Linked DNA regions of Tribolium castaneum. The protein of the gene in region 1 purifies or fractionates together with the protein of each later gene. This does not show direct contact. Links are inferred from orthologs where the notes say so. Each region holds a gene or a part of one and is shown in the gene's direction. Other genes may lie near its edges.

Evidence for each region.
Region 2: the proteins of U3 small nucleolar ribonucleoprotein protein IMP3 (region 1) and U3 small nucleolar RNA-associated protein 25 homolog purify together in Homo sapiens (affinity purification with mass spectrometry; 3 studies listed by BioGRID and IntAct, with this or other methods). This does not show direct contact. The link is inferred for Tribolium castaneum from reciprocal best matches to the Homo sapiens genes IMP3 and UTP25.

Annotation. Positions count from the first base shown.
Region 1 is NC_087400.1:10,480,664-10,483,732, forward strand, and holds U3 small nucleolar ribonucleoprotein protein IMP3, read left to right. Parts: upstream 1-1,443; 5' UTR 1,444-1,511; coding exon 1,512-1,648; intron 1,649-1,693; coding exon 1,694-1,801; intron 1,802-1,848; coding exon 1,849-1,952; intron 1,953-1,998; coding exon 1,999-2,174; intron 2,175-2,224; coding exon 2,225-2,245; 3' UTR 2,246-2,558; downstream 2,559-3,069. Other genes in the region: serine/threonine-protein kinase GL21140, read right to left, coding at 381-605, 655-981. UniProt on the Homo sapiens protein: Component of the 60-80S U3 small nucleolar ribonucleoprotein (U3 snoRNP). Required for the early cleavages during pre-18S ribosomal RNA processing. Part of the small subunit (SSU) processome, first precursor of the small eukaryotic ribosomal subunit.
Region 2 is NC_087396.1:10,586,523-10,590,788, reverse strand, and holds U3 small nucleolar RNA-associated protein 25 homolog, read left to right. Parts: upstream 1-1,376; 5' UTR 1,377-1,520; coding exon 1,521-2,555; intron 2,556-2,604; coding exon 2,605-2,847; intron 2,848-2,895; coding exon 2,896-3,522; intron 3,523-3,609; coding exon 3,610-3,786; intron 3,787-3,836; coding exon 3,837-4,004; 3' UTR 4,005-4,066; downstream 4,067-4,266. UniProt on the Homo sapiens protein: Component of the ribosomal small subunit processome for the biogenesis of ribosomes, functions in pre-ribosomal RNA (pre-rRNA) processing. Essential for embryonic development in part through the regulation of p53 pathway.

The DNA of each region.
Region 1 (3,069 bases):
TAGTTATTGTTGTACGTAATTACAAAGTAATCGATTACTTTAAATTGAATTAATAGGTAAATGATTACAGCTAATAAGAAAATAATTACATTGTATTTGAATAAAAAAGTAATCAAAATACAACGTAATTACATTGTAATCTGATTATGCCCAACTATGGTGCTCTTTCTCGAGAGTTTGATGTTTTTCTCTAATTTTTTTAGTTAATTTTTCGCAGCATTAATTGTAGTAAATGCAAAAAAGCTTGTATTTTTTTAACATTTTGAGTTCGTTTAGCGTTTGTGTCCTTTATTATTTTAATTATATAACGAATGAACTGGTTATTGAACTAGTAATTTTATACAGTTACTTGCTGTCTTTTCCGAGCTTGATTTTCGTACCTTTCGGGGCTTAATCCCGTTTCTAATAATGGTGACTATACGAGGCCGAACACAATCTGGAGGTATAATTCTTGGAGTGTGTGTAAGTGAGTTATTAAATTTCGTATTGGACAGTTTTTTTGATCGCAAAGTGTCGGTTTTCGTGTATTCGATTCGTTTGAACATCTCGCCTTTCCCACTACAGACGTACTCCTTACCGTCCTCTAAATCGTCCAAACTACAAACCTGGGCGAAAAAATTATTTATGGTGTCTTGATATCTGATCGGTTAATACTTTTTTGCCTTCCATTGAGTAGATGTTGCGCACACCGCTGGGGAGAGTAACATTCTTAGTCAGAATGTTCGTCAGTTCGGTCGTCAGACTGTCAAAAGACCTGTACCGTTCGGGGGCCACTGGTATGACAACTCCGTTAAAAAACTTATTCCCGTTATGGTAAAATCGGATTCTTTTCGCTTTCTGCGTCCGCGACGTCGACGAGGGCCTGCTTTTACTCAAATTTAGCTCTTCAATGCCGTTATCGATGATTTCAAAGTCGGACTGTATGCTGTTACAACTGGTCGAGGAGACGCTTCGGGAGCCGCTGATGTTGTTCTTCGACATTTTGCCAAGTGGGATCGTCACAAGGGGCGTGAAATCATCGTAACATCGTTGGTGTTTAATCAATGGGGCTGTTTTTAACCAAAACTACAAACTGGTACCGCCTATTTGCCAGCTGTCACCGAAACTACACCAAACATCAACTCCACAGATCCCCAAACCACTCTTTAGCGATTTTCAAGGTACACTTCACACACAACACAATCAAACTATAATCTCATTATGAAAAAATTAGATTTTGTGCTAAACTAACTGTTTTTACGGTTAAAAAGGTAATAACCTCTTTTCGGCAAGTGGGAGGGATGCTTGTTACGCATGGCAGCCAACCCCACGAAAATCACAGCTAAATTAAACGAAACGTAATTTCACAAACCGGACCTTATCACACGTTGGACACGGCCACAATCACAGATTGTTTAACAAACTGATTAAAAATAGCCCGCGTGAGTCAACAATTAATCAACAAATTAAATATTTTGGCCGGCGGAGTTGGCACACATGAGTGTCACCTTGACTGATCACAATTTTCAAAAATGGTCCGGAAATTAAAATTTCACGAACAAAAACTCCTGAAAAAAGTTGACTTCATATCGTGGGAAGTCGACAATAATTTGCACGAAGTGCGAGTGCTCAAAAAGTACCACATTCAGAAACGCGAGGATTATACAAAGTGAGGTTAGGTCGGTTTTGACATTTGTTTTATTTTATTTTGTAGTTACAACAAATTGGCCCGTAATATTAGAGAACTGGCCCGCAAAATTAAAGAAGTGGACGCTAAGGACCCCTTCCGGACTGAGAAAAGTGCCCAATTGTTGGAAAAACTGTAAGTTGGAACGTTGTCAAAAGTGAGGTTATGTTTTTTATTTTTAGGTATTTAATGGGGTTAATACCGACAAGGTGGGACTTAAGTCTGGCCGAGAAAGTGACAGCTTCGTGCTTTTGTCGGCGGCGACTGGCCGTTGTAATGGTTAGAAGTAAGTCGTTGTTATTGTTAGAATTTTGCCCCAAATTAATTTCTAGATAAAATGGCTGAAAATATTAAGGGGGCTACTAAATTAATTGAACAGGGGCATGTCAGGGTTGGGCCCGAGTTGGTCAAAGACCCAGCATTACTTGTAACTAGGACTTTGGAAGATTTTGTAACGTGGGTCGATAATTCCAAGATTAAACAACATGTGCTTGAATATAACGGAATGGTAAATTTTTTAAATAATGTAGAACGTGGTTTTTACCATTTTTTTTCCAGAGAGATGATTTCGTGTTGTGATAACATTTTCCTTATTAATTTTAAGTGTAGGTGGCAACACTGTCAACTAAATTTAAATTTGGTTACTCAGTTGGTTTGGTAAAACGAAACACCAAGTCCTTATAAATTTTTATTGTTTTTCCAAAACATACAGGAATTGTAAATCATTATGCCATACATGAGTGTATCAAAAATAAACAAAACCCAATTCTAAATCTTGAAAACTACAATTAAGATGATTACCAACTGTTGATACATTTAAGCAGAAGTTGTTCCAAAAGGTAGACTTTTCAATGTCTTTCTAATAATAATTCAACAAAGAAAGTGAAACAAACATTCGTTATTCGTGTTTTTCTCGTCATCTCTAATTTGTCAACATTCGTTTCCTGCACCAAAGATAACACTAGTTATTCCGCATACGCTATGCAATACTTGTGAAGCCTCAAAATTTGTACAACACACAAAATATCCAAATAAGCGCTTTTTCCGCCATTTATGGTTACTTTTTTGACCTAGCTGAGTGGCGTCTCCAACGGTAATTTTACTAAATGATTTGTCAACACTCCATAGTATACACACCAAGTCCTTGTATAGAGGTGGTTCCAAATCTGGTGGCGAACTGTCAGTGACATAAAAGTCTCTTGCACTCACTTGGTTAAGATAATGAAATACATAGACGTGCATTTTTTTCACTAAAATTTACCCAGTTGTTATTTTAACATTAATAAATTTTGAGAACGAAGATACATAAAAAAATTACTATTACTGTTAATAATCTGATCATTATTCTTCATCTTACGGATCTCATTATATTTTTTTTAAGACTATCAGTGGATTTGAAAATC
Region 2 (4,266 bases), on another chromosome or scaffold:
TAAAATACTTGTTCAAACCGTCCCAAAACTTCTTTGATGATGGCTACAATGAGATGTTTGTAGGTGTACACCATGTTATTTAATAGCTAGTTAATTCTCTTCTTGGCCTCTTTTCCACCAATATCAATTGGTGAAAAAGACGCTTTTCAGTTTCTTGCCATGACACTTCATTTTCAATTTTTGTATTTTTTTACTCCGCATTCACGCTGTGCTCTTTTAAATCCTGTTCCTTACGACCATAGAGTAATATATTTTTCTTTCAATAAAAACGCTCGACTATAAAAATGAGATTACATAAAACAGTAAGACGACCGATAATTTAATGGAGCACAGTGGTGAATGGTACAAATTTTGTGGTGATATTTATTTATTTAAAAGGTGTTGTATTAACATCAGTGAATTAAATGAGAAAATTAGTTTGTAACAAATAACAATACAAGGGCACAATTAAATATCGTTAAATATTTAAAGTATTGAAATAAGAAATTGTTGTGGTACGATAACTTAAGTTGTTGAAATTGCAATTTTATTCCACCTCTGTAAAATAGTAAAATTGAACCGTGAGGCAATCAATATTATACAGTTTTATGAAAAATAGCTGTGTTTTTTATTCTAAAAGAAATTATATGTGCACAGAAATTTAAATATTTTGATAAGATTGCAATAAAAGATTTTTTGAAACATGTTGTTTCGACGCCTGAATTTTCTGGACAAATTGTGCCTTATTTAATACCAAATTTTTATTTATTATTAAGACAACGACAAATTGTATTTATTAATTCTGCGCAATTCTCCTGGAAATTTAGGCCTTTAGGTTTAAGTAAAAGTACTTGTACTTCGTCCCACATCGACGTGACGTCAATAATAATTACGTACAACACTTGATTGTGTGCAAGTAACATGTGATATCATGTAATATGTTAGTGTTAAAAAATAAATCGGTATATATACATATTACCTCATTTCTTGTTTTATATTTTTATGTTTTAATATAAACGACTAAAGCCACAAGTCTTTAATTATTGACTATTTACCAATAATTGAAGTTATTTCACTACAAGAAAGAAAAATTATCATTCTCTCAACTTATTCGGGGAAATCCGGGACAAGAATTTGCATTTTCGAGCATCTTCTACTTCGACATTTTTCTGATTTGAATAAATGCAAAAATTATACATCCAGTGACATCTATGTTGGGGAGCGGCAAACACTTGGGGAAATCTTTATTTCTGTTTTTCCCCAATAAGTAGACAAATAAATGCTTTCAAAACTTTTCAAATAAACATTACAAGTACAAAAACACATTGATCATTTACTACTTCACGTGCTAATTATTGTTATTGCAAAAATCATATATTGATCATTTCTTACATTGGCGACATTGGTTGTCAAGTTTCACGTTGACGTATTAACCTCACTTTTATTATAACCTTTCTCAAAAATAAAAAACGTTAAAAGAGGCCTATCTACAATTTTTTATAGAAGACTAGTGTATTGCGTTATTTTTTCACAAAAACGGTATGGCCAGAGGTAAGGTAAAGTACCGAGACGTGGTTGGAGGCCGGTCAAAAAAATCGAAAAAGTTTGATAAAAAGAAAACCAAACCGAGAAAGACTTACAGCTTGTATCGTCAAGACACTAAAAAGCCCACTAAGAAGCGTAAGTTTGAGGCTAGTGAAGAAAATTACGAGAAACGGCAAAAAGTTGAAAAAGAAGCTCAGCCCGAGCAAGAGTCTTCAGAAAGTGAGGAGGAAATTGATCCGATGAAGGAGTTAATGTCTACTTTTGGTTCAAAACTGCAACATAAACAATCACTTGCGATATCAAGTAGCGACGAAAGTTCAGACGAAGAAGATGAAAACTCTCCTGAGGACATTCTTGAGGAAAATGAAGACACGGACGAGGAAACATTAACAAAAAATGAAGACACCCCAGATTCGGAAGAAGATGAGGATGAGGTGGCAGTTGATAGCGCGCAAAATGAGGATAGTGATAACTTGAATGATCCCTTTGTAAAACATGTTTGTTATGAACTGCATGAAAGTGTTTTAAAGTCATTACAATCCTCTCCAGTATTGGTCAACGATTCTGTTTTAAACTGGCCAAGTTTAGGGCGCCTGTTAGTTCAAATACCACAATTTGAAGAATTAAAGGAAGAGAAAAATTCGTTTACAATAGAAGAAAAGAAAAAATTTGCACCACCGGGTTCAGTACCTAAAAAAATGAACACCTCAGACCTCAAAAAACCGGATAATTTGTTCATTAAATCACAAATTATAGATAATTTATCTAAGGCCAATGATTCACTAAAAGAGGATGATACAGTATTTACTGATTTTCAGTCTGAATTGTTTTCGATAATTAACAATTATCAAGATTTGTATTTTACCCAAAGAAACTTTAATAATGCTGAGGAAATCAGATTTGTTTATTGCCTTCATGCCGTAAATCACATTTTAAAAACACGGTTAAAAGTTGTTCACCACAATGTACGTTTATCAAAAAAGGACGACGTTCCTGAGGATTTTAGAGACCAGGGATTAGTTAGGCCCAAGGTAAGTCTTATTTTTTTATGTTTTATTCTTTACTCAAAAAAATATATAGATTCTTATGGTTGTTCCCTTCAAAGACTCGGCTTTTAAAATCATCCAAATGATAATAAACATACTCCTGCCTGAAGATAAAGGTCACGTAATGAACAAAAAAAGATTTCTGGAGGAGTACACAGGCAATGAAATTCCGATGCCCAAAAAGAACCCCAAACCCGAAGACTACGAACTGACTTTCACCGGAAACACAAGCGACGATTTTAAGATTGGCATTACTGTTACAAAAAAGAGCCTGAAGGTTGGCACCGCATTTTAGGGGAATCACTTAACACACAAATCATTTTAGCTGTTCGCTGACTTTTACTCCTCCGATATTATCATAGCTTCGCCTTTGGGGCTCCGGACAATAATCGGCGCTGAAGGCGAACCCCAACGTGACTACGATTTTCTCGCCTCCATAGAACTTCTAATTCTGGACCAAACCGAATTATTTTCGATGCAAAACTGGGACCACTTTATTCACGTTATAAATCATCTCCACTTGCAGCCGAAAGACTCACATGGGACTGATTTTTCGCGAGTTCGGACCTGGAGTTTGAACGGATGGGCGCAATATTACCGACAGACTTTGATATTTTCGTCGATTGTTTTGCCCGAGATTAACTCAATTTTTAATAAGAAATGTAACAATTTCGCTGGGAAAGTCAAAATCTCGAATCCAGTCGAGTTGGGGTCGATTGGACAAGTCGTTGTTCAGATACCGCACGTATTTCATAAATTTGAGGCCCCGAATGCACAGGCCGCAATTGAGGCCCGGTTTGAGTTTTTTATCAATAAACTCTTACCTCTGCAGAGGGACAGTTTGATGAAACAGACGATGATTTATGTGCCGAGTTATTTCGATTTTGTGCGTTTGAGGAATTATTTTAAGAAGGAGGAGCTCAGTTTTGGGCAAATTTGCGAATATTCCAAGGTAATTTTTCGTCTTTAAGACAGCAAAAAAAATCAAACTCTTGCTTAAATGACTGTCGTCTGCTACTGTCTTTTCATATTGTTTTAGGACGGTAAAGTAGCACGAGCCCGAGACATGTTTTATCACGGAGACACTCATTTTTTATTGTATACTGAGCGATTTCATTTTTTTAATCGCGTCAGAGTTAAAGGTATACGCCATTTAGTTTTTTATCAACCGCCAACTTTTCCGCATTTTTATTATGAAATGTGTAATCTAATGCAGGTAATTATTGATGGTTTAATTTTAAGAGGGGTTTGATTATTTTGTTTTAGGAAGCCAACATGAATAAAAAAATCGGAAGTTTATCAAATATGACGGTAAATGTAATTTATTCGAAATATGATGTTCACCGGTTAGCGGCAATTGTTGGGACAGAAAGGGCCACAAAAATGTTACAGTCGGAGAGAAATGTCCACATGATGGTCACCGGTGCTGATTAAAAGACAGAAATTAAAGATCTAAATGTGATTGTATTTTTTATGTTAATAAAAAATTAACAAAATTCTGTTGTTTTTTTTCACAAAGAGGCTTGCGGCTTGATTTTTACGAAAAACCCAAATATATTTTCTGCAATAAGTAACAGAAAATCGCCAAAATTAAAGAAAATATGCAACTGCAATAAGTAACAGAAAATCGCCAAAATTAAAGAAAATATGCAACTTTCTGCCAAATGCTGCATTCAGGAACCGTGTTTCTGTAAAA